Linked DNA regions of Solanum lycopersicum. Each later gene encodes a partner of the first gene's protein in a complex. Links are inferred from orthologs where the notes say so. Each region holds a gene or a part of one and is shown in the gene's direction. Other genes may lie near its edges.

Region 1 (4,255 bases):
AAAGGTGTTTTTTTTTAGCTTATAAGCTGTTTTAAGTTGACCACATTTTTATCTTTTTGCCCTTAATATTTTTTACAATCTCCAAATTACCAACATAACCCTAACATCTCTTTCTTCCATTTTTCCATTTTCACGTTTGACATAGCAACTTCAGCACTTTTATCCAAACGCATAACTGCTTATTTTAAAAATAAGTTTCAACACTTTCAAAAGTACTTTTTTAAAGCTGCTTTTATTAAGTCCATCGGAACGGACCCTAAGTCTCTCCATACTTTTTTTTTTTGACTTAAAAGTTATTTCAATTTGACTTTTTATTTTTAATTTAAAAACTATTTTTTTAAGCAAATTCAAACAAAACCTAAATCATACTTCATTAACAAGGCATAAAAATATTTTAAGGCATCACATTAATAAATGACGTCTTGGTTTTCACTTTACAAATGGATGTCTGCAACTACATGCTATTACAAAATTTCAAATACTCAGAATTATTCAAAGACCCACTAATCAATAATATTGCTAATTAGCTAGTCTTCAAAATAATCATTTTCATATGATACAAACTTTAAACTAAACAGTCACGTTTAAGAGTTCATAAATTTTGAAATTACAATTTGATTTCTGGTGATTTTGAAATTATAATTTTAAGCTAATCTCGTAAGCATACACTGATTTCAAATGAAATTGAGATTCAAACCTTATAGCCCTAGTATGCATACAAAGATGATAATTTTCATATATAGCAAAAAAATTTATATTTGTATGTTATAACAAAGTTTGCATAATTGCGTTCTATAGCAAACATAAAATTGTACAATTCGCTATACATATACAATTGTATAATTCGCTGGCCAAAATTGTATAATTCGCTGGCCTAAATTGTATAATTCGCTATCCTATTTCGCTGCGATTGTATAATTCGCTGCCTATTTCGCTGCAATATTTTTATAAAATTTGCTTTGCATACAGTTGAATTAAATTAAAATGTATGTATATTGCATAATTATAAGTATATAGCAAGAAGATATATATTTTTCTCTCCCTTTATACAAAAACAGAAACACAATTTATACACTTCTGTTATATAAAACTAGAGAAAATTGTATTTCACTGCAATTGTATAATTCGTTGGTCTTTTTCTCTGCAATATTTAAACTAAAATGTATGTAAATTGCATAATTAAGTGTATAACTTGAAGTTATATATTTTTGCATGTGTATATACGATTTTCTCTCGCTTTATACAAAACAGAAACATAATTATACACTTATGTGTATAAAGCAAGAGAGGCGAGCGAGAATGGAGAGTGGCGAGCGAGATTTCTGGGAGAGAGACGCTGACAAATTTTAGCTAATGTTTGCTATGGAGCACAATTAAATCAAAACCTAGCTATTTCATTTATTTTAGGTTATTAGTTTGCTATTATATATAATTTTTCCTAGAAAGATTTAGGCTAGGAAAGGATTATTTGGGCTTCAGGAAATTAGGCCGACGCGATACTCATAAGGCCGTCTACGACGTTCAACGGTTCAATTTACTGGTCTGGGCTTCGGCTTAGAAGAGCCCATTATGAGAGCCTAAATCTTACCGGAGTTTCCCGCCCATCTATTACTAGTTGTTCTGGCTAAAAATTTAAATTCTTACGCGCTACCACTTTTTTTTAATTTTAAAAAATAGTAGTAGTAGTTCAAATCTTCTCTCACGCTCCTCTTCTACCCCAGCACTTCGCCGGACTCCTTTTCTACTCCAGCACTTCGCTGGAGTTGACCTTCAGTAGCAAGTCTTTCGGTTCTTCTTTTCAGTACAGCCTAAAGCTATTCTCCGGGAGTAAAAATGGCCGTAGATAAGGAATTCTCGAACTCCCACGAATCCAATAATGAGTCATCTCATCCTGGATCTAGACCTCCGAGGCTATTCATTAAAGAGATGGTGATGAGAAACTTCAAATCTTATGCCGGCGAACAGCGCGTTGGCCCATTCCACAAGGTTAGGGTTTGCTTTTACACATTTTTCAGTAATTGAATATTTCAGGAATTAGGTGGTAATTGAATATTTTAGAAATTAAGTTAATTCCTTCTATGTAATAAAATTCTCTACTGTACAGAGTTTTTCTGCAGTTGTTGGTCCTAATGGTAGTGGAAAGAGTAATGTCATCGACGCAATGCTCTTCGTCTTCGGAAAGCGGGCCAAACAGGTAAGACTATGTGTTTTTTTTTTATTTCATGTTTTTTGGCACCTTGATTATGATAAAATTGGATAATTCATTGTCATAACTTCTAAAATATTATTCTCTTGATGAATAAAGTAAAAGTTGACTATGCTACAAAATTAGTTGATCACTAGCTTAGTTTCGTTTGATGTAAAACTTACTAACCTGTATGACTGGAAACTGCTGTTAGCTCTGCTAAGTTGGAGCTCGGGGAAAACTAGCCTTTTAAAATGGACCATTCCATCTGCATGCTTATTGAAATTTGAGCTTGAATGATTAACTCTGCAGATGCGTCTAAACAAAGTGTCAGAGCTCATCCACAATTCAAGTAACCATCAGAATTTGGAAAGTGCTGGCGTGTCTGTTCATTTTCAGGAAATTATAGATTTGGTAATTGTGGATTTTCCTCTTTCTGAGATAACTATTTAGAATCTGTGTTATATTCTTAGTGTTTCTATTGTTTAAATAGGATGATGAGACATATGAGGCTGTTCGTGGAAGTGATTTTGTAATCACACGTGTGGCATTTCGAGATAATTCCTCTAAGTACTATATCAATGACCGGACAAGTAACTTTACAGAGGTCACTAAGATGTTGAAAGGGAAAGGGATTGATCTAGATAACAACCGATTTCTGATTCTTCAGGTCTATATTGTTTTTGTCATGTGATCTTTGTTAATTTCGCAAATTTTGGATTCTATTCATGTGGAGATGTCCATGGAATTTTCAAAAATCCAAACTTCTCATAGAGATGTAGAAGTTTCTTGAACGAACCACACTAAATAGGTGGTTTTTTTGCAGGGTGAGGTTGAACAAATATCACTGATGAAGCCTAGAGGACAAGGACCACATGATGAAGGCTTTCTTGAGTATTTAGAGGATATTATCGGAACCGACAAATATGTTGAGAAGATTGATGAATCATTCAAGCAGTTAGTTCTCACTGTGAAATGATTTTCTTTTTGGCAGAAAAAACGTTTTTAGTTTCAAACTAAATCTTGTGATACCATAATAGTTATGCTGCTCTTTTCCTTACCAGTATGTTCTTTCCTTTCTCCCTTGTGTATGGTTTGCATCCTTATTTTTATAGCTTTGTATGTTAATTTACTCATGAGTGTGTTATGTGTACTCAGTAAGAAGATTGTGTGCCTAAAAAGATGCACTTGATACCTCTAGAATCTGCATTCACTATTTTTTGATGCTATCATAGGCTAGAAGTCCTCAATGAAAGAAGGTCTGGTGTTGTTCAAATGGTTAAGTTAGCTGAGAAAGAAAGAGATAACTTGGAGGTAAGATTAGACCATTACATAATTTATGATTTGTTGTGCTCTTAGAAATGTGTTTATGTTGTCCATTCCTTCAATAATAGGGAGTGAAGAATGACGCAGAAGCCTACATGCTTAAAGAATTATCACTTCTCAAATGGCAAGAGAAAGCAACAAAATTGGCTTTTGAAGATAATTCAACTCGATTTACAGAGATGCAGGCGAACATTTCTAGACAAGAAGAGATTCTTAAAAGTGAAAGGTGGCTTACTATATTTTCTGAGGGCTATGCAAGAACATAGTGCTTTTTTTCTTTTTTGTTTACTTGGGATAAATCTGGAACCTCCCTCCCTTCTTTGTTTTCCCTTAGTTTTGTTGCAAGAAAAGAGATGAACTCCTCTATCAGTGCCTGTAGTTACGTTTCTTCATTTCAATACAATCCCCCTTCGTTACAGTAGTGCTTTCATTCAACACTCAATGAATTTTTTAAAAAACTTTTCAGGGAGAAAATTAAGGAAAATAGCAAGTCATTGAAGGACCTTGAGTCAAAACATTCGAAGTTTCTGAAAAGACAAGAGGTATGGAGTACAAAGTGTGTATACCATTGCATATTTATCCTGTTATTAAGAAAGAGGTGGTTTCCTTGGGAGGACGTAAGCATTACGATATTATGGTTTTAAATCTGACTATTACAATGGTCAAATAATTCAGATTTGTTTTGCTCAAAACTTGTAGGAGCTTGATAACGATCTGAGGCGCTGCAAGGATGAGTTCAAGGAA
Region 2 (3,652 bases), on another chromosome or scaffold:
GGACACTGATCTATTGCATGTCTTTGCTCCTCCAAAGAATCCCAAGTTACTACTCCTTCCAGCAAATAGAACACCGTGTAACAGATTACTTCCAGAAGATTGTCATTATCAACCTGAGAATCTTGTGAAGCTGTTTCTCCGACCCAATGTCACGGTAAGTCTCGTCACTTTGATGAGTTTGTTATTTGCTGACTACCTTAAAAATACATTCTGATTGCTTGTATTCTCTTGCCTTAGTGCCTTGGAAGGAGAGGAAAGCAAATCCCAGGTGAGATAATTTTTATGGCCATCAACTGTTAAAACTTTGTACATGGACATAATTATGGATATGTATAACATTAATGAGTGATAGATTCTGTTTTTGCAGTTGATTTTTAACTGCAAATGTTGAATTTGAATTCAAATGCATTTTTGCTAGGTCATCTTACCTACTAGAGCAGTGACACTACTGTGGCTTTTGACAATTAAGTGCTTTAAATGATTTCATCTGCTTTTGAGTTGAATTTAGAAGAGTTCTTGCGATGTCTTTTGTAAATCCTACTTTCCTAGATATGAATGCTCTCTATTGGCTTCTTGACTATTTCATAGGTTGTGTCTTCTACTGCCTATAGAATTAACGTACTCCTGTTGCTGTATATTTACCAGTTTTCATAAAAAATCGGAATGTCACGTATTGTGGCAGATGAAAAAATTGTTACTATGTGACTTGAGTTGCATGGTTCTTTGTGTAGATGAAGCTGGTCAACAAAGTGAAGATTTTGGAGCCATGCCATCTTGGGATGATGATGGTGGATTTCCTGAGGCTTTTGATGATGGCAACACATTTAGTGATGTGGAGGAATCAAGTACACTTGTCTCTCAACCCCGCCAGGTTTGTTCCTGTTTGCAAATCTTGACTATATATGTTTGTGGTTCTGCAATCTCGATTCCTCCTAGTGTAACTTTCGACGCTTAGGCCAACAATTGATCAAGTATGATATATACAATTGAGTGAGATCTCCTGCAAAACTATGACTTAAACATTTATCAACTTGTACTTAACCAGTTACTACCAAATATCATGTTATGAGTACCAGGCACTTCAAACCCTGTCACTGATTTTTGCTTTTAAGAAATTTGCACCTTAGCTGTTCTATTAAGGTTTTGCTGTACCTGTTTCTTTCTTTCTTTTTTCTTGTGGCTCTTTGGTACTATCGTTAATAAGTCATTGTTTATGTTGAAAAGAAAATATACTTCATCAAGGACATTTGCAGCATTAATAAGCATTAGTTCCTTTATTCTTTAGGCAAACGTAAGAGAAGAAACGTCAAATTGTGTTATCTGTCACTTAATATGTGGGAGGAAAAATGTCAAAATGTTCATGTTGCTTGCTAAATGGAAACTTATTCCGACAGAAATCTTTCGTTGCACAGTTACTAGGGGATGTTGTTCCTCTGTAGAATTTGCTAGATGGAGGGCTTCTTTTGAAGCAAACTGAAACATCTAGTGACCTTGTCTGAATTAACAGGTAAACAAGATTGAAGTTCAGTATGATAAAACATCCAAACAAGTAGATGTTCAAGCACTTAAGGAAACACTTTGGGACCAATTGAATCAAACATCAGTTGAGGTGAGTTCAAACTTCTTACTTCACTGGTAGTGTGTTCTACTTCTTGCTAGTGAATTTATGCATTTTTCCCATGTAGAATATCCTCTTATATACAACAAATTTAGTATTCGTTCTCATCACCATGCCGAGTGATAGTGCCACATCAACTGATAAGGAGAGTATTATTATTATTTTGCCATAGATTTTGGTTCGGAAATTTGAAATGGTATTTGTAGATTATTTCAAGCAACTGTTTGTTTATCAAATTGACCGGCTATTTAACTTCAAATTTGAAGTTTGAGTTTTTCATGTTTTCATTCAACTTGTACATATGAAACTTAAACTTGTTTTCATGTCCAATCACAATTTCTAACTTCCAAATACCCCTTCTTCAACTTCAAATACAACTTTTCTTATATCTCAATCAGATCATGTCCAAACACCTACTTAGTGTTTACCAGGGATTGTTAAGGTCAAACGTTTGATATTGGCTCTTCTTAAATAGTAGCAAGTGAAAATAGTTCTAAGGAGATGAGCAAGTGATCCATTTTTTTTCTCCATTCTGTAGTATAATATAGTTGACAAGTGGATATTCATTTATCTTAGTTGGATATGCAGTTTTGAACTAATTGATTACATCTAATATGGAAGCAATCAATTGGAAGCTAAACATCCGATATTAGTTAGACTTGTTTATCATTTAAACAATAAAAGGGTGTGCCAGAGCAATTGTACGATAGTCTGTTAAGGTCTGAATTTGATTGATGAAATATCTAGAAAATTTACATACTTGATTTACTCCAGTATTCAACTTAAATCCCTCAAAAGGGTGGGAAGCTGTAAAGCAAATGAATATAACTGCATAGTCATTAATGAGATTATAAATGAACTACTAAATTGGCTGACTTTATGACAATTTCTTTAGCCAATTTTATTTAATTAATGCGGTTCAAGACTCCCTTTGTTAAGCAGTTCCTCCAGGGTTGTTCTCTTATCATTGATCAGCATAACATTCTAATTGACGGGGCTTTATCCATTTACCTTTTAGCATGTTTGTCAGACATCTATATCCTGAATGATTCACATGGTAATGTGCAGGAAGAAGGTGTATCTTTCAAGCACATCTTGGCTGCTTTTCCAAACGAATGCAAAGCATCAACATCCGTCGATGCAATATCTCCTCATTTATGCTTCATTTGCTTACTGCATCTTGCTAATGAACATGGATTACGGATACAAGGTTGTCACGGCTTGGATGATCTCAGTATACAACTTGAAACTCACGAACGGTCTTCCTAATGCTGTGGCCTAAGTCATTTATTCTTTCAGCTTTTGGATTTCTTACTGTAATGTATATCACTTGTAGATTGGCCATTCAAGCATATGCTGCTTGTGGTGGATCCTTTCTTCTGTAGTGCTTTATAGGTTAGTTAATTCGTGTAAATTATCAGATATTGTCAACAGTTGGCTTTTGAATTGTTGTCAATTTTCAGGCTTTTGCTGATATTGTACTTACTACATTTATTTTGCTAATTAGATTGACGCAGCCATGTATTTGTGCTTATGCCTTTCTGTACGCTAAATAAAATAACTGAATCTTTTCAATGTGGATATAGCAAAATTTAGTTGAACTTCTGTTGAGCTTTTGATATGATTTTTTATAGGCCCAAATAGAGCAAGTATTACAAAGCGGTTGATGAAGCCATTGACACTTAAATTATGGGTTTTTTTGAACTGAACAGTTGAACATATTTTTGTTAGACGTTTTCTGTATATATTATCACATTTGAACTGACACCGACATTCCTTAATTCTTATCCTTAGAAACCTACTTGGACTATCTATCTTAGATAGAGAACTATGGGACGTATTGCAACCTGCCTTATAAAAAGGTTTTGCAAGAGATTACTTACCATGACTTAGATCTATCCGGTCTTTGAAGGAATGTTTATTACATAAGTAAATTACTTAAAATTGAGACTGATGTGTATAAATAGAGGGAAACACATATTTTGTATGACTAATTTAACAACTATAGAAGTTTGAGAACACATAGAAAAAGTT

What was found. Proteins that work in one complex are often made in the same cells at the same time.
Region 2: structural maintenance of chromosomes protein 4 (region 1) and condensin complex subunit 2 share a complex: the UniProt entries of both Arabidopsis thaliana proteins name them as parts of the condensin complex. The link is inferred for Solanum lycopersicum from reciprocal best matches to the Arabidopsis thaliana genes SMC3 and EMB2795.

What each region holds. Positions count from the first base shown.
Region 1 is NC_090801.1:66,527,670-66,531,924, forward strand, and holds the start of structural maintenance of chromosomes protein 4, read left to right. Parts: upstream 1-1,455; 5' UTR 1,456-1,833; coding exon 1,834-1,986; intron 1,987-2,104; coding exon 2,105-2,194; intron 2,195-2,497; coding exon 2,498-2,599; intron 2,600-2,678; coding exon 2,679-2,855; intron 2,856-3,011; coding exon 3,012-3,142; intron 3,143-3,420; coding exon 3,421-3,499; intron 3,500-3,579; coding exon 3,580-3,737; intron 3,738-3,977; coding exon 3,978-4,053; intron 4,054-4,210; coding exon 4,211-4,255. UniProt on the Arabidopsis thaliana protein: Central component of the condensin complex, a complex required for conversion of interphase chromatin into mitotic-like condense chromosomes.
Region 2 is NC_090806.1:62,344,342-62,347,993, forward strand, and holds the end of condensin complex subunit 2, read left to right. Parts: coding exon 1-154; intron 155-237; coding exon 238-268; intron 269-731; coding exon 732-871; intron 872-1,507; coding exon 1,508-1,609; intron 1,610-2,686; coding exon 2,687-2,887; 3' UTR 2,888-3,152; downstream 3,153-3,652. UniProt on the Arabidopsis thaliana protein: Regulatory subunit of the condensin complex, a complex required for conversion of interphase chromatin into mitotic-like condense chromosomes.